Linked DNA regions of Macaca mulatta. The protein of the gene in region 6 interacts with the protein of the main gene of each other region in a biochemical or structural test. Links are inferred from orthologs where the notes say so. Each region holds a gene or a part of one and is shown on either strand. Other genes may lie near its edges.

Region 1 (4,277 bases), on a different chromosome or scaffold from region 6:
GTGGAGATTTGAAGAGAGGGGAAGGATTGGTTAGTACATGGCCAGTCAAGGTAAAGATGATTGCAATCATCACCAGAAATCTCTGCAGAACTACAGAGGGCTCCTGGGACTAATTCTGAAGAGCTCTGACCGAAGTGTGCTTTATTTTGCCTGTACCAATTCTACCAAGTAGATGAATTCAGTCCATGGCTTGCAGGCTTGGAGGTGGAGGTGGGATGGAGAGCATAAATTACATTTCTGCAGGTGAAACCAGAGCATAGTGAGCCAAAACCCCTTTCTACCTGGGTGGCATGAATGGGTCCAACTGCTACTATCCCCCAGGACGAGGGAGCAAGGCGGGGGGGGGGCAGGATGGGAGGATGGGGCTGCCTTGAGCCTCCTGCAGGATGACTGGCAACTACTTTCTTAGCGGTCCTTAAGGTCCAATCGCGGTTAAGGCACTAACTAAACTCATTCTTCAGCCTCCTTCTCTAAGTGCTCCTCGAATTGCTCAGTTTAGATGCCCAGAAGTAGGCTCAGGATCCATTCTCTGCGGCAGCACAATGTAGGTCAGATAGCATGAATGCAACAGCTACTTATGAACACAATAGCTACTCTGTTATTGCAAGGTATCCACAACCACCACTACAAAGATTAACACCTTGCTTTACTTGGGGGGAAAAAAAAAAATCATGGTCCTATTCAGCAGTTTCCCCATACAGGGAGAGTTTGCCCCTCCCCCACTCAACAAGGCTGTTCATCCCTAGGAAGTGATTGGAAGTGATTTGAGAGTTTTCCAAAGATTTAGGCTTTCCACTCCTCCAAAGCTTTCACAGTTCTACCTGGCAGAGGTGCGTGGGGGGTAGGGGAGGAAGGGCGCGAAGCTAAACGTCCCCGTTCTGCAATGAGCCTGATATTAGCAGAAACACAAGAGCGGCCTGCAGCCCCATAACCACAGTGCGTCCTTCCCCTTAGAAGTCTGGGGAAAGAAAATCCCTACGCCCAGCCATCATTTCCACTCTTGCGTTTTCAAAAGATCAAAAAACGGAAAGGACCGGCAGGTTGGCAAACCCCAAAGAGGGACCGCCCATCATGTCGGCGTCCTTGGGATCTCAGCAGCCGACGACCCCAATTCAAATCGATCGTGGGAAACCCCAGGGAAAGAAGGTTCACTTGCAGAGAGACAGGATTACAGGGTGCAGGCTGCAGGGAAGTACCGCGGGGAAGGGGGCCTGGTCGGAAGGACTTTCCAGCCACTTGGCACTCATCAAAAAGTTCCCTGTCCGTGACCCCAGTGGCTCATCGCAGGGAGTTTCTCCGACGAACCCCAGCTCAGGGTTTAGGCTTCTTTTTCCCCCTAGCAAAGGACGAAGCCAGTTCTCTTTTCTGGTCTGACTGGCTTGGAAATTCCCCGCGCCTGACCCCGCCCCAGAGAAATCCCCAGCCAGCGTTTATAGGGCGCCGCGGCGGCGCTGCAGAGCCCACACCAGCCCGTGCCGCCGTCCCGCCCGCCAGCGCCCTAGCGAGGAAGCAGCGCGCAGCCCGCGGCCCAGCGCACCCGCAGCAGCGCCCGCAGCTCGCCCGCGCCATGTTCCAGGCGGCCGAGCGCCCCCAGGAGTGGGCCATGGAGGGTCCCCGCGACGGGCTGAAGAAGGAACGACTGCTGGACGACCGCCACGACAGCGGCCTGGACTCCATGAAGGATGAGGAGTACGAGCAGATGGTCAAGGAGCTGCAGGAGATCCGCCTCGAGCCGCAGGAGGTGCCGCGCGGCGCGGAGCCCTGGAAGCAGCAGCTCACCGAGGACGGGGACTCGTAAGTGGCGCAGACCCGGAGCCGGGGGTCCTCGGGAGGGCCGGATGCGCGCGGCCGGGGAGTGGGAGACGCCGGGCCTGGAGCCCGACCTGGGGAACTAGCGATGCAGCCGGGCTGGCGCCGCGGCGCCCCGGGGCTCCTGCACCGCCCCGAACGCTGCAGGGCTGCAGGGCCGCGCGGGGCACCGGCCCGACTCGGAGGGGCGGCGGCTGGGCCCTGGTGGACGGCAGCGTCGCCACACGCCCCCTCCCCCCAGGCCTGTCCTCTAGGCCGGGGGCGGGGCGGCAGCTGGGACGCGAAGTCCCCGGTTGCATAAGGCGTTTCTGGCCGCTGGCGGGCGCCGAGCAGCCGGGAGGGGAAGTACAGGGCGTTCCGAGCTGGCGGGAGGGCGGGGCGGTCTGGCCGGCGCCCGCCGGGGCCGCGGGGGGAGGGGGGCGGAAAGTCCCTGGGCGCCTGCCAGGAACACTCAGCTCATAATAACCTCGCGGAAAACACCGCGGCCTCGGCCTCCAGAAACCCCGGCCTTGCGCAATCCCCCGCAGCCCGCGCCTCCCTGGGCCCCACGCGGTGCACTCACCACCCCTGGGGTTTTTCCCTCTCTTCCCCACAGGTTTCTGCACTTGGCCATCATCCATGAAGAAAAGGCACTGACCATGGAAGTGATCCGCCAGGTGAAGGGAGACCTGGCCTTCCTCAACTTCCAGAACAACCTGCAGCAGGTGCGCCGCTTGCCTGGCCCGGGCTCTCTAACTCTGGGATGGAACTGATGTAGCAAAGTCACCCCAGATCCTTTCTGAATTCAGGGCCACTGGGCATTATTCACCCTCACCTTTTACTTCACGTCAGCCCACATCCTAGAGAGTGAAGGAAATTCCACTGATTTGGTGAGGTCTTTGTGACCCACCTGGAGTCTCTGCTATTTGCCAGTCCTCCCCACCCGCCTGTCCAGGAGGAGCAGCACCCAACCAGGAGACACGGGTTCAGGGGAACTCAGGGTGTGGGTTTGGTCCCTGGCTTACTTTCTCTGGTCTCTCCTGCATTCGTAGACTCCACTCCACTTGGCTGTGATCACCAACCAGCCAGAAATTGCTGAGGCACTTCTGGGAGCTGGCTGTGATCCTGAGCTCCGAGACTTTCGAGGAAATACCCCCCTACACCTTGCCTGTGAGCAGGGCTGCTTGGCCAGCGTGGGAGTCCTGACTCAGTCCTGCACCACCCCGCACCTCCACTCCATCCTGAAGGCTACTAACTACAATGGTATGTCTGCCTCCCTGCCCTGCCCCACCCCCTCAGGTGGCAGGTGATGTGGAGAAGGGGCAGGTGGGCCAACTTAAGGAGTCGAGGCAAGAACTTAAACTGCCAGCATTTGAAAGGTTGAGAAAATACGTGTGCAAAGTGCCTGTTGGATGCCTTTATAAAGTTCCTTCAGAACCCAGACGGTGGGTTCTTAAAATTCAGAAGATATGACTATTTGTCCCATAAAAGAATAGGTGAAAGGAGTGAGGGTTGAAACAGGTGGTTATACTTTTTTCGTTTTGTTCTTCCAGGCCACACGTGTCTGCACTTAGCCTCTATCCATGGCTACCTGGGCATTGTGGAGCTTTTGGTGTCCTTGGGTGCTGATGTCAATGCTCAGGTTAGTGCTTCCTGCCTCCGATGCACTGAGTCAAGTTCCCCGTGCTCATGTTGTGAGCAGAAATTCCAAACGCAGCCATAAGCATCTCAAATTCCTTTTGGTTTCAGGAGCCCTGTAACGGCCGGACTGCCCTTCACCTCGCAGTGGACCTGCAGAATCCTGACCTGGTGTCGCTCCTGTTGAAGTGTGGGGCTGATGTCAACAGAGTTACCTACCAGGGCTATTCTCCCTACCAGCTCACCTGGGGCCGCCCAAGCACCCGGATACAGCAGCAGCTGGGCCAGCTGACACTGGAAAACCTTCAGATGCTGCCGGAGAGTGAGGATGAGGAGAGCTATGACACAGAGTCAGAGTTCACGGAGTTCACGGAGGATGAGGTGAGTCTGTGAACTCCTTGGGCTCTCTAACTAATGAGGGACCATTCCCTTCACCCTCCCGGGCCCCTAGAACTGCTCCTTATCAGAGGGGTATCTACATAATGAGTCTCTCAAATTTCTGTGCATAACCAGTATCCCAATAATGTACCTTTTTTTTTTTTTAAAATAGCTTACCCTTTTTTAAAGAAAAGCATTTTTTAAAACATTTTTAAAATGGGAGTTAAAGGCAAACTCCCTCAGCCTGTAAAGTTCATTGTATTTGGGCTATGGAGAATGGAGTCCAAGGGTTATTTCCAGTAGCGGCCTCCCCATCCCAGTGGCTTGGCAGAGCTTCGGAAGTTTAATGTGTCTTCTTTCCCCTTGTTTTCAGCTGCCCTATGACGACTGTGTGTTTGGAGGCCAGCGTCTGACATTATGAGCGCAAAGGGGCTGAAAGAACATGGACTTGTATATTTGTACAAAAAAAAGTT
Region 2 (3,500 bases), on a different chromosome or scaffold from region 6:
GAGTTCAAGACCAGCCCGGGCAACATAGCAAGACCTCATCTCAAAAAATGAAATAATTTTTTTTTTTAGAAAAAGAAAGTCAGTATTTCATTAATATATATTATAATACACTATAAAATGCCTGTAGAACAAAGAAACACGTTTTTTCTAGGTTCTGTGACAGCATCATTATCCATTCAAATTTTTCTCATAATTAGAACCTGACATTCTGGAAAAATACAGTAAATTTTCATTGATGTTACTTGCTCTGCCCCCCTTTTATTTCTCCCATTAATAATATTAATCCTGAAAAGAAGAAAAGAAAAAGGAAAAAAACCACCCAAGCGAAATGTTTAAGAAATACGGTACGGACAGTTTGGTCCCTTGAAAAATTAGAGCCACCAGGTAAACCTGTTCTGGGGTCCTCACATCTGTCCCCTTTTGGAGTTTGGTAAGTAGTACAGTTGAAGTGAATTTTTTTGTAACAAAAGTAAAAACTTCCAGAATAACTCCAGTAAAGGGTGTTGACGTGACGTACAAGTTTGGAAATATATTTAACATCTGAGAGTCCTTAATGTTGGTGTTACTTCCTCCAGTATAGAACAAACTTAATCTTTTGATGAAAATCATAGAGTTCCATAGATATGAATAGAATCTCCAACCGGTGCATCTTGAAGCCAGCTGCCACGGCCACTCATGCACCTTCTCTGTGCCCATTCAGGAGAGAATTCTCAACATCTCTGCTCAAAACAGTGTTTACTTTTAGTCTATCAGAGACTTCATGTTTGTTGTGCATGCACACTCACAGCTCTCCACACACATGCCCACTCCCCACACACATCCTGCTTCTGAGAAATACAACTAGAATTTCCTCTGGAGAAGAGGTGGAAACCCCTGATTGAGAAATTTAAGGCCTAGGAAAGGTAAATGACTTTTCTTAAGTCGCATAGTTCACCACAGAACCAAAGCTAGAATGCAGATACCCTCAGCTCTTCTTCCAGTGCTTTCAGGTATACAAGTATTTGAACAGGATTCAAGGTTTAACTCCTTATGTGTCTTTCAGTGTATCCGGTGTAAGTAAAATGTTGCCCCTTAGAGCAGCCTTGAGAATTTCTCAATGACTACAGACTTTGGTTAGTTCTATACAAGGGAAGTGAGAGAGAGATAATGTCATGACCAAATGACTTAACTTTTGAAAGCAGCCTATTGCAAACTTAAATAACTGGGGCATGTATTTTATTGATTGACCTGTAAGGACAGATATTTTAAAATGTAAATTCAAAACTGTTTTTTGCAGCATTCACCTATAGGCCTTCTATATCTGCTCTTTGTGAAATAGATGGCTTCCAGAGCATTAAAAAAAGAAATAGACATTTTCTTGGTTCAATAGCTCTAATCTGCTTTCAGAGTGATTTTTTAATAGTTAAGCATATTTTATGTGCACATAGTTTCATTTGCGATCTGAGAGGATTTCATCTAAAACTGAAAAGTTATTACTCGTGAAGGAGAACAAAGGAAAAGGAAAAAAAAAGTTTAAGAAAAAAAAATTGTTTTAAGCCTCTAAAGTTGCTTTATGTTCAAGTGGGTATTTTCAACCCTGAGTTGCTGAAATGATTTTTTATTGAAAGAAGGTTAAAAGTGTATTTCATTGAAAGCCAAGATAAACAGTAGATTTTGTATCATTTTAAAAATCAACAATTGGCTGGGCATGGTGACTCACGCCTGGAATCCCAGCACTTTGGGAGGCCAAGGCGGGCAGATCACTTGAGGCCAGGAGTTCAAGACCAGCCTGGCCAACATGGTGAAAACCTGTCTCTACTAAAAATACAAAAACCAGCCGAGCGTGACAGTGTGTGCCTGTAATCCCAGCTACCCAGGAGGCTGAGGCATGAGAATTGTTTAAACCTGGGAGGTGGAGGTTGCAGTGAACCCTGATTGTGCCACTGTAATTCAGGCTGGGCAGCAGAGCAAGACTCTGTCTCAAAAACAAACAAAATAAATAAATAAATATAAAAATCAACAGTGAAGACTCCCCAAACAAAAGAAATTGGGATTCTTAGCCAGTCATAGGTAAAGTGTTACAGTGTAAATTAAAGGGAAAGAAGACCAAAATTGGTGAAATTTGTTTGGTCCCAGAAGATAATTAAGATGAATAAAAGAACTTGAGAGTATTTTCTCATTATTAAGCATCTTCAGCTTTAAAGATTTTAGTTAGCAAAGCAAGTTTACATAAAGAAACAGTTTTCTGAACTGGGATGGCATTCACTAAGTTAGAAATCTCCAAGTCACCCATGTTTTCCCTGTTTTATTTGCAGCCATTCGTTATCTATGACATGAATTCCTTAATGATGGGAGAAGATAAAATCAAGTTCAAACACATCACCCCGCTGCAGGAGCAGAGCAAAGAGGTGGCCATCCGCATCTTTCAGGGCTGCCAGTTTCGCTCCGTGGAGGCTGTGCAGGAGATCACAGAGTATGCCAAAAGCATTCCTGGTTTCGTAAATCTTGACTTGAACGACCAAGTAACTCTCCTCAAATATGGAGTCCATGAGATCATTTATACAATGCTGGCCTCCTTGATGAATAAAGATGGGGTTCTCATATCCGAGGGCCAAGGCTTCATGACAAGGGAATTTCTAAAAAGCCTGCGAAAGCCTTTTGGTGACTTTATGGAGCCCAAGTTTGAGTTTGCTGTGAAGTTCAATGCACTGGAATTAGATGACAGCGACTTGGCAATATTTATTGCTGTCATTATTCTCAGTGGAGGTAAGATTTGTCTTTTGATCCTCTATGAAAGAGGGTGGGATGATGGTGGGATGGCCAAAAGAATTTTGGATTTCCTTATTAGTCTGCGTTCTTTGTCGCTTTAAGTGCCAATGGCATAATGCCATGAATCACCTCTACACGTGCAAAACACTGTACCAAGAAAGAGTATCATAAGTTTGCAGTATGAAAGTTATGAGTAACCCAGGATCTTCTCTTTCTTCCCTCAACAATATAGTTTTTCCAATCAAATGCCCTCTTCTTTTTCTTTTCTTTCTCTCTTTCTTTCCTTTCCAGAAAGGAAGATTAGAGGCCAATCTAATCTTTGGTTCCTGTAAGTAATGGCATGTATAACTTTGCTTAAGACAATGCTTACTTGACGTAGAGAAGGAACTACTAAGTGTTTCTGGTCAAATCATGCTCCTGCCCTTCCAACAGTAAGATACTACTTTGAATTGCTTTCGTGATATCAGGAATTAAGGCATACCTACTGACCTCCACCCACTCTCTTGTGTGGATTCCTCTGATGGCTTCCCTTCAAAATACCTTTGTGAGGTAGTTGGTTGTGATTAAGAATGCAATCTGAACCGAACACACAACATAGAAATAAATTTAGTTATTTAGCAATTTGTTGTATTTTTGGCCCTGCAAGTACATGATCTGACTAACCAGTTCCAAAAGCCAGATTTTTTACTGAGTGTGGCTTTTTTTTCCTTTCCTTTTTTTTTTTTTTTTTTTTTTTTTGTGAGACAGGGCCT
Region 3 (3,500 bases), on a different chromosome or scaffold from region 6:
AGTTGGTTTCTATTCATTGTATTTGAGGATCCCATACATTTTTTTTTTCTCTAAAACATTCTAAAAGGACTTGATCTGTGGTTATACTTGGGTTATAATTAATTTATCAAATATGCTACTCTTTTGTCATGACTATATTTAAAAGTTACTGCTTAATTTATTTTTAATGGCTCTTCCTTAAAATGTCTTAATTGTATTACCTAAGGGCAAATTATACATAATTAAATAAAAAGCATTTTGTCATCTATGAGAAATTGTTTGCCTTTACATTGCCGCCAAGCAGAGAGAAACCATTTCATTAAGGCGACTCAATTTTTTTTTTTTGAGATGGAGTTTTGCTCTTGTTGCCCAGCCTGGAGTACAGTGGCGTGATCTCAGCTCACTGTGACCTTCTGGGTTCAAGCGATTCTCTTGCCTCAGCCTCCCAAGTAGCTGGGATTACAGGCACCCACCACCATGCCCAGCTAATTTTTGCATTTTTAGTAGAGATGGGGTTTCACCATGTTGGCCAGGCTGGTCTTGAACTGCTGATCTCAGGTGATCCACCCAACTTGGTGTCCCAAAGTGCTGGGATTACAGGTGTGAGCCACCGCGCCCAGCCAGGCAACTCAGTTTCTAATCAGCTATGAGAAATTCCATTTATATAGGACTCTCTTCAGTTTGATTTGTTGGTAAGTATATTGACCTGTGAAATGGAAATTTGCTTACTAGGAAAACCGTCTTCAGATACAGCCCCTAAGCCCAAGAGAGCCCCCAAACAGAAGAAAGTAGTAGAGGCTGTAAACTCTGACTCAGATTCAGAATTTGGCGTTCCAAAGAAGACTACAACACCAAAAGGTGAGGATTATCTTCTTATAACCCTTTAAACATATACTGTATGGAAAAGATGGAATTTTTTCTACCTCATTGAATTTAGAGAGGCTAGGTATCTATTTTGTTTTAAATTGCTTTACTCCTCAGTAAGGGGTGTGTCTAGGAATCAGTGCTGAATATAGTCCAAAGGAGGTATAGCAATTTAGTTCAGTCACTTTGTTTTACAAATTAAAAAAACTGAGGCTCAAAGAGGTTAAATAAGAATCCCTAAGAATGGTCCAAATTCTCCCCTGCAGCCAACTCACTGAAAGTTGTTATTAAAAAGTCAGATTAGCACTCCACACTAACTAAACTGTGACACTTATTGTAATGGGCTAGATCCAGGACTCTTAGGCTAGAACTTTTTTTCTCACCTAAGAAATAACTGTACTCAGGACCACACAAGGAACCAGCTCCAGTTCTCCGTGGCATCCCTTCTTTGTCTCCAGAATCTGGAAAGCCCTTAAAGATGCTTTATAAAATATGTTTGTAAGACATGATATGCTCTGAGGGTAGCTGCTCCATCTTTTATTCAACTGAAGGATATCTTCCTCGGTGTGGCTCTTCTATTTCTTAAAGGAGTGGTTGGGATAAGGAGCTGTGGACCAAAGGGAAATGGGGATAATAGGGTGGAAAAGAATCATAGGGACTGGGAAGGTAGTACTCATGATATGCAGGATTGAAAGCCTTTATCAATTCAAAAATGCTATTTCCCTGATTAATTTGATCAAATATGACATGCCAAGATTATGTAAGGCTATCTTTGTACTTGTCCAATCTAGCTGTCAAGGAATTTTTAAAGATTTAAAATTAATTGCTATTTAGTTCTATTTTATTTCATTGGCATCATTGTGGGATGGAGAACATCTGGCCCCTACTTAAATATTACCTTTTCTCCTTTCACCTCCAATGATGAGAATAAGAGGTTAGGTAGATGAAAAAAATGCTGCATGTGCCAAGTCTAGGTCTGAGAAGGAATATGTATTTGACATTTTATAGTCAATACTGGTGGTTCTCAGATGGTGCCACTCAACGTGGGATATGCAATTGGTTGTTACTAGTCTTTGATAAGTAAAACTGAGTAAACATTTAGACCTTGATGATAATTTTGTGTTAATAAAACAGCATGTGATTACATTTTTTAGTAATTTGTGTTCTATTGTATTTTTAAAAGTATTGGCCCATGACAAATTAGAAATTAAAAAAAAAAATTTAAATCACATGTAATTTAAAAAATACTTTTCCAAGGTATTTCCTTTTCAGGCTCAAGGACCACATAGCAAATACAGATGTTTTATGTATGAAGGGATTCATCATTAAAATTTGTCTTTGGGACTTTCCCATTAATTTAAATATATTTGTGAAAAAGTCTTTGGTCATGTCAATCCCAGAATTGAAATGCTACTGCCAAGTTGTTTATAATCACTCATAGTAAGAGATTAGGACTGCAGTGTTCCACTGATTGGGCATGCCAAAGAAATAAACTACAATGTTGTGGCATTTATCTTTTTATATTGCACTTACCCATGGAAGAAAAAACCTTTTGTATCATTTTAAGGTAAAGGCCGAGGGGCAAAGAAAAGGAAAGCATCTGGCTCTGAAAATGAAGGCGACTATAACCCTGGCAGGAAAACATCCAAAACAGCAAGCAAGGTAACTGGGAACATCATTGCACATTAGTGCATGGCTTTTAAAAAAAAGATCTGTAACTGACTTAGTTTGCTTATTACTACAGTCCTGGAACAGCTTTCCACCTAGCATCTCATATCAATATGGGGCTTGTATATGGTTAAGGAATTATTCAAGTATAAATGTATATAATCAGGACTAGTTTCTAAATAACAGTGTGCTATAAATTAACCTACTTAGAATCTTCCATTTCATCCATTGAGCTATAGTACTGTTATGTTACCTAAATATTAGACTCTTTCAGACTAAAATATTATTTTTCAGACTAAAGACTGTTTCCTGTTAACTTGGATTTATTTGACCAGGGCTAATTTGATTTTTTTTTTAATTGAATTTATTTGACTGTGGCTAATTTTCCCAATTAGTCTGACCCTTTTCCAGAAGTACACTATTTTTTTTTTGGTAAATGAATGACATCAGCTACCTCCATCCCTTTTTTTCTCTTCCTAGTAAAACTTAAAAATACCAATGTAGATGATCATAGCTTTATGTTGATTTCCACACTGACCTTTTCCATCCAGTCATCTTCTGTGTCTCAGGTCCACCTCGGTGATGCTTTGCATGTTTTAAAACACTTAACAGTGCATACTCCACGTGGTGCGGGAGTCTTGTTTCCTCCCATGAATTCTTGATACGTACTTAGCAATAGGACAGCTTGAATTTTTACTAATCTGGGCATTGTGCATACTTTTTGGGTAAAATATAATTTTAGAAATATAAGTGTTACATTTTTCAGGCTAGAACTTGGTAAATATGAAACCACCAAGGTAGCGAATTACTGTATGTAATCTTTTTCCTCCAAAAAATAAGGTAACTGGTCTTAAACTTAGGTTAGCATTACAACTCTAATTTTAAAAGTTCCATGATTTGTAATACTTCCTAAACATAAGTGAAGTTTAAGGAGTGATAGTTCTTCATACTAGTCTTTATTTCTTTTAATAACTTTTAAATCTAATCTA
Region 4 (3,246 bases), on a different chromosome or scaffold from region 6:
TGCTGAATATAGTTATGATGGGGGAGGAGGAAGGAGCTTCCAATAAACTATTAAAAATCGTGGCACCAGAGAAAATGTCAATTACCACTGTGCAACAACTATGGCAAGAAGCCACATACACCATAAAACAGTGCCATATTCAATTAGTAGTATATCCAAAATGCCTCGACCAAGCAGATGAAAAAACACAGAAGTTACAGAATTAAGTCTGTCAATTAAAAGAAAAACAACTGGTTTTGGCTGCCAAGCAAATAATACTAGGTGATGTATTCAGACCCCTCAAACTTGACATATTCTCCATTCCTGATGTCATGCTGTGAAGACATGGATCTAAGGGCTGATATACCACACATCCACTACCTTGAGTCTAAAGAGAAGATACTGTGGGACATATAACTGAGGTATCTGCTGCCAGTTCCAGTACGGTGAAAAACTATTACTGGGATCAACTGGGAGCAAAAAGATAAGCTGTCTCTTACACTAAGAATCTGACTAAATTAAGTAACCAAGTAACCAAGAATGTATCACTGAAGTCTTGATTTCAGCCTTTCAAATCCTTAATGGATATCATGTTCTCTTCACTAAATCCACAGCTATGCTTTAAATCTTAAGGATTCCCAATAAAATCTAGACTGATGGTATCCCTCTTTATTACAGTAAGGGGAGAAGATTGTCAGGCATGTTTGGAATTCTTGCTCTTAGGAGTTCAGATTTTCATGCCTGGATCGTGTAACATCCTTTATTTCCAGGGCACTGATGTGCGTATCTTTTTTGTATTTAGAGTGTGATGCACTATCAAGCTCAAAAGAATTAAATGTTTAGAAGGTAGGTTGTTTAAGAAGGCCATCTTGGTGAAAGGCCCAGCTTACAGTGAGAGACTACCATGACTCAGTCTTACAACTTGATATGAGAGCTTGATAGGTCAAAGACTATTAGGACTGATGACAACAAAGAACTCTCTCACATGTAGCTTTATGAGTAGTGATGGTATGGTGGCCATCAAAGTCTTGATGAAGATAGTTACTGTGCAATTTCTACAGAGATGTTATAGGTAGAAGTCTTTTTCCAGTTGGTGTCCATAGAAGACCTGTGACATCTAGCCATTCCAAGGGGAAGCAAACTGGATTTGGCAAAATTTGACTTGAATTCCAGTTGACACAAAGCTTCATGGCTGATTCTGAAGTCTCACAGAGCTTGACAGTAGTATGAACTCTTGGTGAGTTGACCATCTTGACATAAAGACATTTTAACAGATGTGTCATTTTGTGAAGATCTGTCAAACTGAAGCCTGAACAAGGAAGCACTGATAACCTAAAAATGAAGGATTTACCTCTGGTCTTAGTAAACAGAGATCTAGTATTAGGTTATTTCTAGATTCAAAATATCTGCTAGTCCTCAGTTTACAGATAAGATTTTCCTGAGGAACAAATCTTTATATTTTTCTTTAATCACAAGAGGATTCAGATTCCTGAGTGGCCCTCCTCCAAACTTATTTTTGGACCAGAAATAAAGGATAAACATTTGTCCAACCCTTTCAAGAAAGTCTCCACTGCTCACTTGGTCAGTAAGTCATGAGTTTATTTTATACCTCATTTCAAAAGTCTACAATTCAAATGTCAGCTGTGATCATTCCAGACATGCATTCAGTTTTTGAGATGATCTCCTACCTGTAGATCCTATTTGTACGAGGAGGAACAAGTAAAATAGGATCTTGAATGACTATTCTGCTGAACATAAAACAGGTTATTAATTCTTGTACCCATGGCGTTCTGGAGAGTCTCCCTTCTTTCTATATCTATAGGGGTGGTTTCGAGGTTTGTACCAATCCCCTTTGGAGTATCCTCTATTGTGATAATGTGCTTTCTGATCATGACTATAAAAGTATCGATGCTGATTATAGTATTTGTGATCTTTATAGTCATTTTCTTTTATACTGTTCTCTTCTGCAACAACAGCTTTTACATCTTGTCCAAAAAGGGAAGTACCATCAAAGGGCAAGTGGGAGATCTTCTCCTGGGTTTTCTTAGTAAGAGATGTAAGTCGAAGCCAGGCCTGCCTTCTATAGTCTATGGCCATGGCCATAACTCTGACTACAGAATCCATTATGTCCCTAGTAGTACAAAGTTGCCAAAGGCCTGCATCCATACCATCAGATATTATACATCTTGCTTTTCCACGATCAAACTCTGGGTCATGAACCAGATCTTCCATGTCTTCCCAGAGTTTACGCTGATATTGAGTCATATAAGCCATGTAGCTAGCAGCTCGGGCTGCAATGGAGGCAGCATGGTAAAACCTACAACCCATGACCTCCATTTCTTTTGAGGTAGAATCTAGAGGGGATGTTGTATTTCCTCTTTTGCTGTGTTCTAATGCTTCTACAATGGGGCCTTCAGCTGGTGGGTTTGGTTGGAAAGGAGAGGTGTCCTTGGCCACAGGATATACCCTGTGTCCCATGAAGGAAGAAGGATGGCAATCAGCAGGGTCTTTAAAAACCTCAGTGGTGGCAATTCTCAGAAGAGGATGCAATGGAGGAACCAAACGTTTTTTAGAAGTCACACAATCAGGTTTCCCTTCACATGACTCTGCTTCAGATTGTAATGTCACCCTTTTTATAACACCTCTTTGTTCCATTCTCTTCAAAAGACCTGTGAAACTAGATTGGCTGGGGTCAGATGGCTGCCCTTTGTCATCAGCTGATGGTGATTTGTAATCAGTTTCTTCTTCAACTGTGGATAAATTTTCCTCCTTAGAGGTGGAGATGTCCCAAGGAACTGAGGAGTTCTCACTTGGCCTAGAATGATGAAATCTAAAACAGCTCCTGGACTGCAGATCACGTATCACTCGGGACATTTCAGCTACTTGTGTCTGGAGATAGAGGATGGCATCCCGTCCATGCTGTGAAGCTGAAGAAGAATCTATACATAAATTCTCTTTGACCTCAGAAGAGGCCAAAGATTCTTGGGGGACCAGAAGTGGAGATGAAGGCAGAGTCTGAAAATTCTGTGACGATTTAAGGGTCTCTGTCTCAGAGATCTTAGTATCTGAATTATTTTGATCATTTTTCTGGTTCTCCAATGGGTTCTCAACAGAGGAAGTTTGAGAAACTATCCTTTCTGGACTGCTGGAACAACTCCCAGAGAAGGAGCTGCTATCTCCAATGGGAAGAGGAACACTGCAGCTAGAGCACATTTCTGGGCGATGATTCTCAGAGGATGGCACCTTAGATTCAGGCATTCTCTGGGT
Region 5 (4,155 bases), on a different chromosome or scaffold from region 6:
TGAAAAACTTAACATTTATATGGTAGAATTTATATGGTATGTAGAAGATACAGATAACACTCAAATAAGGGGGATGGAACTAATTTTCTATTCTTGCTGTAATAAATTATCACAAATTTAGCTGCTTAAAATAACATATTTGTGGCTGGGTGCAATGGCTCACGCCTGTAATCCCAGCACTTTGGGAGGCCAAGGCAGGTGGATCACAAGATCGGGAGTTCGAGACCATCCTGCCTAACACAGTGAAACCCCGTCTCTATTAAAAATACAAAAAAAACTAGCCAGGCGTGGTGACGGGCACCTGTAGTCCCAGCTACTCGGGAGGCTGAGGCAGGAGAATGGCGTGAACCCGGGAGGTGGAGCTTGCAGTGAGCCAAAATGGCGCCACTGCACTCCAGCCTGGGTGACAGAGCGAGACTCCGTCTCAAAAAAAAAAATTTTTTTTTTAAATAATGAGTTATATTTATAGCTGTTATACCTGTTGACCTGAGGAGAATTTTGAGAGTCCACAGAAAAAAAAAAAAATTGTTATAGGTCAGAAGTCCCATACTGGTCTCAGTGGGCTGAAATCAAGGTATTGGCAGGGTTGTGTTCCTTCTGGAGGCTCTAGGGGAAAATCCATTTCCTGCTCATTCAAGTTGTTGGCAGAATCCAATTCCTTGAGGTCGTAGGACTGAATTCCCTGTTTCTTTACTGTCTATCAGCTGATGGCCATTCCCAGCTTTAAGAGGCTACCCACAGTCCTTGGCTCTGAGCCCCCTTCCTCCATCTTCAAAGCCAACAATGGCAGGTTGAGTCCCTCTCACATTTTGAATCTCCCCTGCCTCTTCTGTCATCACATCTCTGAGCTACCTTTCTTTCTTCATCATCTGCTTTTCAGAGCTCATATGATTAGATTGAATTTAATCAAATAATCCAGAAATAATCTCCCTGTCTTAAGGTTTGTAACCTTAATTTCATCTGCAAAGTTCTTTTCTGCTACGTAGTATAAATAACATACAGGTTCCAAGGATTAGGATGTGGAACAGGGGTGGCATCATCTGGCCTACCACAGTCTGCCCTCTGACCGCCACAGATTCACATTTGTCCCACAGGCAAAATACATTCACACCATCCTAAGATACTCATGAGTTGTATCCCATCACAGGGAGCATCCCAAGCTGGATTGGGGAGCTAGAAGTTAGTCTGGGAATGTTTAGGGAATGATGGTAGGGTTTGAGGACAGAGATGGAGAAAAGATGACAAAAAAAGGAATCCTCCTCCCCCTGACCTCTGCCCCTCCTATGTCCACAGCCTCTCAACTCAGCTGTTTGCCCTCCAGGTACCCCTGGGATGGCGTGAGCACTCCCCCAGCGATGGACCCATCTGTGACGCTGTGGCAGTTTCTGCTGCAGCTGCTGAGAGAGCAAGGCAATGGCCACATCATCTCCTGGACTTCACGGGATGGTGGTGAATTCAAGCTGGTGGATGCAGAGGAGGTGGCCCGGCTGTGGGGGCTACGCAAGAACAAGACCAACATGAATTACGACAAGCTCAGCCGGGCCTTGCGGTACTACTATGACAAGGTACAGTCTCTCAGACCAGGGCTGGGACCCCCCCTAACATTTATGTCAGAGATTTTATTTTGTTTTGATTGCCATAGCTATGACTTTGAAAACAATGTTAAAATTTATCAGTTTTTAACCCATCCATTGGTACTGTCAGGCCAGTATTGGGCCCCTAAGCACTATCTCACCTACTTTCTTGTCTTACTGCTTTGGCAAAAACCATCATTGCATTATTAATACTGACTCCTACTCCCACTCTGAGATCCCCACAGTGATGCTGCCCTGCCATGCGCATTTCATTTTCGTGTCATATTCCTATAGCCAACATTTTGAAAACATGGTTAATAATGGCTGGTCCTCATTCTGTCCTCTGGAAGCCCTAGACCAGTGCTGGGCTTCCCTAGTTATTTCATAATCTTCTCTTATTCCAGAATATTTCATATTCCTAGAATCAAAACCTCCCTGACAGTATTATACCAACTTTTGCTTACTTTGTCCTCTGGGACCCCAACATTTTTAACCAATTATTTTCTTATTCCTTAAGCTAAAACCTCTGTAACAACATGTTTAGTACCAGCTTCCACACCCTATCTTCTTAAATTCCCAGAGCAGCACTGGTCTACCCCAATATTTATATCAATTGTTTTCATTATCTTATTCCTACAGCTAAAATTTAAAATTTCCCCCATTCTGCCCTCTCAGACCCCCAGGCCACTGCTGGGTTTCCCCTCCCCCCAATATTTATACAAGTTATTTCATCTTCTTATTCCTCCTGCTGAAACTTCCAAACAATATTCATGAATATCCCTTTTCGTTCCTCTTTTGAGAAACACGGGCCCACCCTGTGACATATCTGACCAGCACTAAGACTTCCGCAGAATGCCCTAGTGCTCCCACACTCCTCTTGCCCGTGCCCCCAAGAACAGCCCTGGACCTATGCTGCATACCCTTCATAGTTTATGGCATTTATTCCACTTTCATATTTTATTCCTTGAGCTCAACCCTCCAGAACAATATTAGTAATGAGGCTCCCTCACTGTGCCCTCTGGGAACGCTAGGTCATCTCTGAGACCCACCAGACCTGAAAAACCCCAAACATGCTCTGTGACCCACCCAAGCCAGCCTTGATATAGGCCCTCTCCCAATATTTATACCAGTATTTTTAATATTCTTGTCTAATTGCTGTTAGTTACTTCATTTTCTTACCGCTTTAGCTTCAACCTCCACAGTGGTATTAATAATGAGGCCTCCTCGCCCTCTCCTCTGCAGTGACCTTGCCCTATTCCACTTCTGTGTCATTAGCTTCAAATAATCCTCTGTATTAATAATTCATCGCCCCATCCATCTATATTAATTTACTTTCTTCCAACATTTATATCAGTTACTTCATTTTCTTGTCTTACTGCATTTGCTAGTCTCCAAAACTGTGTCCTGACAGTCACCCACAAGGCCTGGCCTGTGAACCCCTGGTTCTTGGAGCCAAGAAGACTTGCTCCCACACCTACTACCTTCCCTTCACGGGCCCCATTGTGAAGAGGAGCCACAGTGTGGAGGGGGTGGGAAAATCAGATAGATAGACCTGGAGAGTGACAGAGGGAGGCTTGGAAAGGGGTGGATGGGAAGGGGCTTAAAGAAAGAATTGTTGTGGAGAGAAGAGAGAAAGGGGAGGAACTAGGGAGGGGTATAGATAAGGGGAATCTAGGGGGAGAGGAAAGAGGTAGAAACCAACGGGAGAGGAAATGGGCTGATAGGCTGAGAGGGGAACTTACAGAGGAGGGACAGGAAAGCCAGAGAGGGGCAAGTGGGAAGAGAGCCACTAGGAGAAGAGAAACACCACTCCACCCCAACATACACACACCCTGCCTCCAGCCTGCCCCTTTCCTCTCAGGCCCTCTGTTCCTCTCCTCCCTTTCTAGAACATCATCCGCAAGGTGAGCGGCCAGAAGTTCGTCTACAAGTTTGTGTCCTATCCTGAGGTCGCAGGGTGCTCCACTGAGGACTGCCCGCCCCAGCCAGAGGTGTCTGTTACCTCCGCCATGCCAAATGTGGCCCCTGCTGCTGTACATGCCACCCCAGGGGACACTGCCTCTGGAAAGCCAGGCACACCCAAGGGTGCAGGAATGGCAGGCCCGGGTGGTTTGGCACGCAGCAGCCGGAACGAGTACATGCGTTCGGGCCTCTATTCCACCTTCACCATCCAGTCTCTGCAGCCACAGCCACCCCCTCATCCTCGGCCTGCTGTGGTGCTCCCCAATGCAGCTCCTGCAGGAGCAGCAGCGCCCCCCTCGGGGAGCAGGAGCACCAGTCCAAGCCCCTTGGAGGCCTGCCTGGAGGCTGAGGAAGCCGGCTTGCCTCTGCAGGTAAGGACTGGAATATAGAAATCCAGTAAGAGGAGGCAGTAAAGAGGACGGATGTGTAATCCCCGGATGATGAGGGAGGCTGGTAGAAGAGACATAGTGCTCCTGTTAAAGGAGATAATGGTGGAAGGAAGAACACAGACATCCTCTTAGAAGGAGGGATGGGACAGAGAGCTACACAAACCCTGAGACAGAAAGGGGAGAATACTGTGCTACAGTTAGTAGCTGCCGAACATGTAGGTGCCTGAAAT
Region 6 (4,300 bases):
GAGATGAGTGCGGTGGAGTTGTGAGAGGTGAGTGCTTTGCTCACCCTCAGCCAGGAAGTTGCTCGGAAGTCGGTGCTGTCAACCAGCAGAGCAAGGTGGTGATCCGAGAAGCTAAAGCTCAGCCGGTCGCGGGTGCCCAGCAGGACAGAAGGCAGACCTTCAGGCCACTCCTGGAGTGCTTGGCCCTGTCCTGGTTGCTGCAGTGTCTGGGCCTTGCTTGGCTCTGATAGATGAGGGTTGTTTTTGTCTTTGCCTCATATAAGTTCCCTGCTCTGAAGGGTCTAGTAACTGCTAGCCATTCACTTAGTGCTTATCTGTTAATTTGGAAGGGCAAATTCGATTTTCAGCGGGATTTTGAATGCTTCGTCTGTGTTGTGATTACATTGTAACACATTGGCCACTTTCTCCAGGAGGCCAGTAGGAGGGGGAGCAGGGGGAGGGGCCTGGCTTCTGCCTAGGACAGGGTGGGTGTGCACCTGTGGCTCCTTGCCCTGTGGTGCAGTTTCCTGTGAGACCACCCTGTGGTGCTGAGTGCTTTGGGGCAGGGGATACAGCAGCATCAGCCAGACCTTGGCGGGAGGTCTCACAGGAGCACCCTCACGACTTCTCACATCTGAGACAGCAATAGCTAGGTGCTGGGACGGGGGCCTCTAGGTGGCTCTGTCCGGTCTTCAGTAGGAGGGCTACCTGTGGCAGGGTTCCAGGCCTGGCTGGCCTCTCTGGGGCTGGCCTCTCTGGGGCCTGGCCTTGCCTGGCTGTGAGGATCGTGTTGGCCTTGGTCCTTCAGTGTCTGGAGCACTGGCCTGGGGCTTCAGAGACCTGCTTGATTCCTGGCCCCGCTCAGACCCCGGGCACCTGGGAGGTCGTGGCTCCTCAAAACGGCCGTTCACCAGGCTGCTTTGCACCGCACCAGGCACAGGCTGTGGCTACTCATGAAGCCCACCCTGGGGCTGGGGAAGCGAGAGCTGTGAGTCCTCAAGCCACAACTGAGCTGCTCCATGTGGAAGTGGAGGGTGGAGACACGTGCAGAGAGAGCCTTGAAACCGTGGTTGGCGGGAGCTCCACTCCACTCTGGGCTCGAACCCTGCCTGCCCACAGCTGAGCCCAGCTGTGTCCCCCACTTTCTCCCTTTCTGGCCCCTGGCTTCCCCCCACCCCCACTTAGAGAAGGGCATGGGGATGGGCAAGTGGTCCAGAGGGCAGGCGGCCTGCGGGCTCCTCCGCATCCCTGTGAGGAGGGCATGGGGAGGGACATCCCGGTGGGGCCCAGTCTGGGGCTACCTGTCTTGGACTTAATCGTGTAGCTGGAGGCCAGTGCCCGGATGGCCCCTGTCACCCTCTCGCTGTGATGCCAGCACCTACTGACTGGAGGACCCGGGTTCCTTTGCCTGATTTTTCTCAGGCTGCCCTGAGGATCCGTGTTTGGTTAAAAAGGAGCCAAATCCACCTGCAGGGCAGGCGGCTCTAGCAGCCCCGCCTGGCTTCCAGCACCCTGGTTCCCTGGCGACACTGGACCCGCCTGGGCTTCCTTGATCCCAGCCCCACCCCTGATTTCTGCTTTGCTGCCTCGGGAAGCCATCGTGCCGCCCAAAACCCGAATGTGGGCCTCTCGGAGCTCCTTCCTCAATGAGTCTGCTGGGGACTGGGCCTTGCCTCCCTAACAAGTGCCAGGTGAGGCTGCGGCGGCTCTGGCCCAGGTGGAGCTGCTGACCTGGCCCCTTCCTGCAGCTGTGAGGTGTGTGAGGTTCGTGGGCCTGCACAGGTGCGGGCGCCATCCAGGTCACCAGGGCCCTTGTAGGGACGGCCCCCCACGGTTTGGAAGGCCTGGCGCAACCCCCAGCTTTGTCGAGGTGGCCCTTGCTTGGCGCTGAGATGCCAGACTTGGAGGCAGCTTCAGTGTTCCCGTGGACTTTGAAAACCAGCACACACTTGGGCTTGAATTCTCTGGCAGGTTTTGTGCCCTGAGTGCTGTTTTTCATGGTAAAGGTGACCACCAGTAGGGTGACAGGTGAGGCTGGTGTCGAGGCTGCTGGCCCTGTTTGCCTGGTGTCCCCGGGGACAGTGCGGGCCGACAGGCTCCCGCTGGGAACCAGAAGGCAAAGGTGCCAAGCCCCTGAGGTCCCGTGGAGAAGTGTGGAGCTGGAATCTGGCGTGTGTGCCGCTGCCTCTGACCAGGGACCTGGTCCCGTACCCCATGCTCCTGCCCTGCCCCACAGGACCCGTCTGTCCCCTGAAGCCACAGGGACATGCTAGCGGCTGCAGGGTCCGGGAACGGTGGCCCTGTGGGGGGCTCCTCTTTCAGCGAGGCTGAGCCTCTGCCCTGTGGTACTTGTTCCACTCTGTCTTCAACACGGTGAAACCCCATCTCTATTAAAAATACAAAAATTAGCCGGGCATGGTGGCGGGGGCCTGTAGTCCCAGCTACCCGGGAGGCTGAGGCAGGAGAATTGCTTGAACTCAAGAAACGGAGGTTGCAATGAGCCGAGATAGTGCCACTGCACTCCAGCCTGAGGGACAGAGTGAGACTCCATCTCAAAAAAAAAAAAAAAAACAATATTAGGTGTCCCCCTGGCCCGGCTTGAGTCTCAGTTCTGAGCGCCTGATAGTAAGGCGGGGACCCAGATAGTAAGGCTGGGACCCAGCCCTGCCTAGTCCCCACCTGACGGTTCAGTGAGGACCCTGCCACGCCAGCCACCACAGGGTGGCAGCTACCGCCCAGCCACAGCAGCCCAGCCTCTGAACATCCGTCTCCACCGTGGAGCAGAGGCCGCGGCACGTGTCGCAGACCAGGGCTCGGGGGGCCCATGGGGAAGGGGTCCTACCTGTCCCCCCACCCCCGGTGATCTGGGATCCACTCATGAGGCCTCCCCTGGTAGACCCCGGGGTCGGACGACGGCTTCCAGGAGGAGAGTCTCTGCTGGGCTGGGCTGGCGCCTGTTAGGAGCAAGACTGCCCACTGCGGGCCGTGTGCACGTGGCGGGGCCGCAGGAGCCCGCTAGCCTGTCCTGACCCCGTGCTCTGCCTCCTGTGTTCCAGGGACTCTGAACATGTCGGGGATCGCCCTCAGCAGACTCGCCCAGGAGAGGAAAGCATGGAGGAAAGACCACCCGTTTGTAAGGAGGGCTTCGTTTCCGTGTGCAGTGCCGCGGACGGCCCCCCTGGGCTGAAACCGTGCCCCCCACCACTGGGAGGGAGCTGGCCGCGTGCCTGGGTCGCGCTGGTGGGGCTCGCGGGCCGGTTCTCGGTGGTTTTGGTCAAACGAGATGCCACCGCACTGATGTGCTTTTGTGGTTGTTTTCTCTCAGGGTTTCGTGGCTGTCCCAACAAAAAATCCCGATGGCACGATGAACCTCATGAACTGGGAGTGCGCCATTCCAGGAAAGAAAGGGGTAAGAGGCGCGCGCTGCTAGCCTCCTGCCTGTCGGGGCTCAACAGATGCGTGTGGCAACGCCACGGGGAAACTGCTCAGCCCCTGCCGTCTGTGACGGCCGCCCTTGTCACGGGCTGCGGACAACAGGTCAGATCCCCAGCTGTGGCCTGGCCCCCGCCCCGTGCGGACTTGAGCTCAGAAGGTGGTGCTGGCAAGGTTGGGGTGACAGCTGTGTCCCCACCGAGGGCATTTCTGGTTGAGAAGGAAGCAGGCTGGGCACAGGGCTGAGCTGTGGCAGAGGGGAGGGGCTCTGGTGTGTGTTGGGAGCAGGCCTGAGGGCGGGCAGCCTTTGCAGGCTGGAACCCGGGATTCTGCTGTGTCCTTCCAGGTGTGGCTCAGGTCACGGTAGCTGGGTTTGCTGGAGAGCCACCCTGGCGTAAAGCCGCCTCCTGGAGAACCTCCTGGGGCACAGGGACTGGCGACAGCAGCCTAGGATGCCTGCTTGGGGCCCCCTGTGTGTCTGTGGGGAGCAGGGCGGCCTGTGTGCCTGTCGTCTTTGCCCGGCTCCCGTGAAGCACTTGGCCGGGGACTCCAGGCTGGTGTGCACATAAGGTTCATGCTGGTGAACCCTGAAGGAAGGAGAGAGCCCTGAGGTGCTGGTCCTGCCCGAGGCCTTGTTCCCTCCGGCCCATGCCACCCTCTGGGTTTCACTCTGAAACTCAAAGCAGCTTCGGTCCCCCTGAGCTGAGCAGTCCCAGCAGGTCTCAGCTTTGCCTGAGACATGGTGTCACTTGGGTTTGTCGCTTGTCTGAGGCTCTGCTGAGAACGTCCCTTGCTCTTCACGTCACGGCGACGCAGGTGTGCGGCCCCGAGGAAGACGGGAGTGGTGTCGGATTGTGGGGTGGCAAAGGCGCCTCATCCAGGCAGGATC
Region 7 (2,082 bases), on a different chromosome or scaffold from region 6:
GAGGAAGAGGAGGAGGATGAGGAGGAGGAGGAGGAAGAAGAAGAAGAGGAGGAGGCCACAGATTCTGAAGAGGAGGAGGATCTGGAACAGATGCAGGAGGGTCAGGAGGACGATGAAGAGGAGGAGGAAGAGGAAGAAGCAGCAGGTATGTCAAGGGAACATTCTCCTCACCTGTCATTTGTTTTTGTTAGGCATAAGCCACCTGTTTGAGACCTTTCCCTTCCTCCTCCTAGTGTCCTCTCAGCAGTATTTTTTCCCCTCATTCTCGGGCTACCCTCTCCCCTTTTCTTCTTTTCCAGGTAAAGATGGAGACGGGAGCCCCATGTCCTCACCACAGATCTCCACTGAAAAGAACCTGGAACCTGGCAAACAGATCAGCAGGTCTTCAGGGGAGCAGCAAAACAAAGTGTCACCCTTGTTACTGTCAGAAGAACCCCTGGCCCCCTCCAGCATAGATGCTGAAAGCAATGGAGAACAGCCTGAGGAGCTGACCCTGGAGGAAGAAAGCCCTGTGTCTCAGCTCTTTGAGCTAGAGATTGAAGCTTTGCCCCTGGATACCCCTTCCTCTGTGGAGATGGACATTTCCTCTTCCAGGAAGCAATCAGAGGAGCCCTTCACCACTGTCTTAGAGAATGGGGCAGGCATGGTCTCTTCTACTTCCTTCAATGGAGGCGTCTCTCCTCACAACTGGGGAGATTCTGGTCCCCCCTGCAAAAAATCTCGGAAGGAGAAGAAGCAAACAGGATCAGGGCCATTAGGAAACAGGTAATAACAACAGGAGGAGGAAGAGGGAAGCCAAGGAGGGATTGCAGGGGACTTTCGGAGAGGAATATTGGGGAACTGAGTCTGCTGGGAGAGACTGGACTGCCCTCCTCCAGCCTCAGTCTTCCCTTACCCCTCCGCATATTTATGTTTCGGTTTCTAGCTATGTGGAAAGGCAAAGGTCAGTGCATGAGAAGAATGGGAAAAAGATATGTACCCTGCCCAGCCCACCTTCCCCCTTGGCTTCCTTGGCTCCGGTTGCTGATTCCTCCACGAGGGTGGACTCTCCCAGCCATGGCCTGGTGACCAGCTCCCTCTGCATCCCTTCTCCAGCCCAGCTGTCCCAAACCCCCCAATCACAACCTCCTCGGCCCAGTACTTACAAGGTAAGAAGGGGAGGCCGTGTTTCCTCTGATAATTTGTTCTCTTTCATTGTCTGTTTCAGCTGCTCTGTCTGAATATTGCACCTGCCACATCCTGTCTCTTTTTCCCACCCGTTTTATCCTGTAAATCCTCCTGTCTGTTTCTTTTCTCCTGTACTCTAGATCTCTGACTCTTTGTCTCTGACTTCCCTGCAGACAAGTGTGGCCACACAATGCGATCCAGAAGAGATCATCGTGCTCTCAGACTCTGATTAGCTGCCTCCCCTTCTCCCTGCCTCCAGAATGTTTTGGGATAGCATGTGGAGGAATGTGGGAAGCAGATGACTGAGGAAGGGATGGACTAAGCTAATCCCCTTTTGGTGGTGTTTCTTTAAAAAAAAAAAAAAAGCTTAAGTTTTACACAGAAACATTAATAATAAAGTTCTTTTCTTACTGTATCACTGTCTTTTTCTTGTCCTTCTACTGTTACAGATTGGCATTAGCTGTCCCCTTGCTCAGGGTTAGCCCAATATCCCCGGGGTAGTCCCGATCTGTCCTTTCTAGCCTGGTCTTTTGTTGTTGTTGTCTCGCTGTGTCGCCCAGGCCAGAGTGCAGTGGTGCGATCACAGCTCACTGCAGCCTGGACCTCCCAGTCTCAAGTGATAATGCCCCAGTCTCCCGAGTAGCCGGGACTACAGGCGCGTGCCACCATACCTGGCTAATTTTTTGTTTTTGTTGTTTGTATTTTTTGTAGAGACAGGGTTTCGCCATGTTGTTCAGGCTGTACTTTTTTTTTTTTTTTAAGTGCTTCAGCCGCCTTAACGCACTTTACTTTTTCACTTCGTGCAGTAGGAGTGAAAAAGCCAATGAGGGGCCGACTCAAGGTTATTTGGCCAATCCAGGCCCGGAGAAAGGGGGCGGGGCTTCAGGGGGCTGTAAGGAGCTAGGAAAAGGGCGA

What was found.
Region 1: of the proteins of UBE2I (region 6) and NFKBIA, one has a biochemical effect on the other in vitro, tested with the Homo sapiens proteins (2 studies listed by BioGRID). The link is inferred for Macaca mulatta from reciprocal best matches to the Homo sapiens genes UBE2I and NFKBIA.
Region 2: of the proteins of UBE2I (region 6) and PPARG, one has a biochemical effect on the other in vitro, tested with the Homo sapiens proteins (2 studies listed by BioGRID). The link is inferred for Macaca mulatta from reciprocal best matches to the Homo sapiens genes UBE2I and PPARG.
Region 3: the proteins of UBE2I (region 6) and TOP2B form a complex in vitro, tested with the Homo sapiens proteins (2 studies listed by BioGRID, with this or other methods). The link is inferred for Macaca mulatta from reciprocal best matches to the Homo sapiens genes UBE2I and TOP2B.
Region 4: the proteins of UBE2I (region 6) and ZNF451 form a complex in vitro, tested with the Homo sapiens proteins (2 studies listed by BioGRID and IntAct, with this or other methods). The link is inferred for Macaca mulatta from reciprocal best matches to the Homo sapiens genes UBE2I and ZNF451.
Region 5: of the proteins of UBE2I (region 6) and ELK1, one has a biochemical effect on the other in vitro, tested with the Homo sapiens proteins (3 studies listed by BioGRID and IntAct, with this or other methods). The link is inferred for Macaca mulatta from reciprocal best matches to the Homo sapiens genes UBE2I and ELK1.
Region 7: of the proteins of UBE2I (region 6) and DAXX, one has a biochemical effect on the other in vitro, tested with the Homo sapiens proteins (5 studies listed by BioGRID and IntAct, with this or other methods). The link is inferred for Macaca mulatta from reciprocal best matches to the Homo sapiens genes UBE2I and DAXX.

What each region holds. Positions count from the first base shown.
Region 1 is NC_133412.1:108,520,589-108,524,865, reverse strand, and holds the start of NFKBIA (NF-kappa-B inhibitor alpha), read left to right. Parts: upstream 1-1,477; 5' UTR 1,478-1,567; coding exon 1,568-1,794; intron 1,795-2,404; coding exon 2,405-2,513; intron 2,514-2,840; coding exon 2,841-3,051; intron 3,052-3,341; coding exon 3,342-3,430; intron 3,431-3,537; coding exon 3,538-3,807; intron 3,808-4,177; coding exon 4,178-4,225; 3' UTR 4,226-4,277. UniProt on the Homo sapiens protein: Inhibits the activity of dimeric NF-kappa-B/REL complexes by trapping REL (RELA/p65 and NFKB1/p50) dimers in the cytoplasm by masking their nuclear localization signals.
Region 2 is NC_133407.1:151,232,491-151,235,990, forward strand, and holds part of PPARG (peroxisome proliferator-activated receptor gamma), read left to right. Parts: intron 1-2,294; coding exon 2,295-2,745; intron 2,746-3,500. UniProt on the Homo sapiens protein: Nuclear receptor that binds peroxisome proliferators such as hypolipidemic drugs and fatty acids.
Region 3 is NC_133407.1:22,873,951-22,877,450, forward strand, and holds part of TOP2B (DNA topoisomerase 2-beta), read left to right. Parts: intron 1-711; coding exon 712-837; intron 838-2,410; coding exon 2,411-2,505; intron 2,506-3,500. UniProt on the Homo sapiens protein: Key decatenating enzyme that alters DNA topology by binding to two double-stranded DNA molecules, generating a double-stranded break in one of the strands, passing the intact strand through the broken strand, and religating the broken strand.
Region 4 is NC_133409.1:125,191,066-125,194,311, forward strand, and holds the start of ZNF451 (E3 SUMO-protein ligase ZNF451), read right to left. Parts: upstream 1,747-3,246; 5' UTR 1,001-1,746; coding exon 965-1,000; intron 1-964. UniProt on the Homo sapiens protein: E3 SUMO-protein ligase; has a preference for SUMO2 and SUMO3 and facilitates UBE2I/UBC9-mediated sumoylation of target proteins. Plays a role in protein SUMO2 modification in response to stress caused by DNA damage and by proteasome inhibitors (in vitro).
Region 5 is NC_133426.1:47,662,166-47,666,320, reverse strand, and holds the start of ELK1 (ETS domain-containing protein Elk-1), read left to right. Parts: upstream 1-1,355; coding exon 1,356-1,565; intron 1,566-3,463; coding exon 3,464-3,907; intron 3,908-4,155. UniProt on the Homo sapiens protein: Transcription factor that binds to purine-rich DNA sequences. Forms a ternary complex with SRF and the ETS and SRF motifs of the serum response element (SRE) on the promoter region of immediate early genes such as FOS and IER2.
Region 6 is NC_133425.1:2,512,388-2,516,687, forward strand, and holds the start of UBE2I (SUMO-conjugating enzyme UBC9), read left to right. Parts: upstream 1-1,500; 5' UTR 1,501-1,670; intron 1,671-3,035; 5' UTR 3,036-3,046; coding exon 3,047-3,112; intron 3,113-3,304; coding exon 3,305-3,388; intron 3,389-4,300. UniProt on the Homo sapiens protein: Accepts the ubiquitin-like proteins SUMO1, SUMO2, SUMO3, SUMO4 and SUMO1P1/SUMO5 from the UBLE1A-UBLE1B E1 complex and catalyzes their covalent attachment to other proteins with the help of an E3 ligase such as RANBP2, CBX4 and ZNF451.
Region 7 is NC_133409.1:148,970,417-148,972,498, forward strand, and holds the end of DAXX (death domain-associated protein 6), read left to right. Parts: coding exon 1-145; intron 146-299; coding exon 300-765; intron 766-925; coding exon 926-1,148; intron 1,149-1,340; coding exon 1,341-1,400; 3' UTR 1,401-1,582; downstream 1,583-2,082. UniProt on the Homo sapiens protein: Transcription corepressor known to repress transcriptional potential of several sumoylated transcription factors. Down-regulates basal and activated transcription.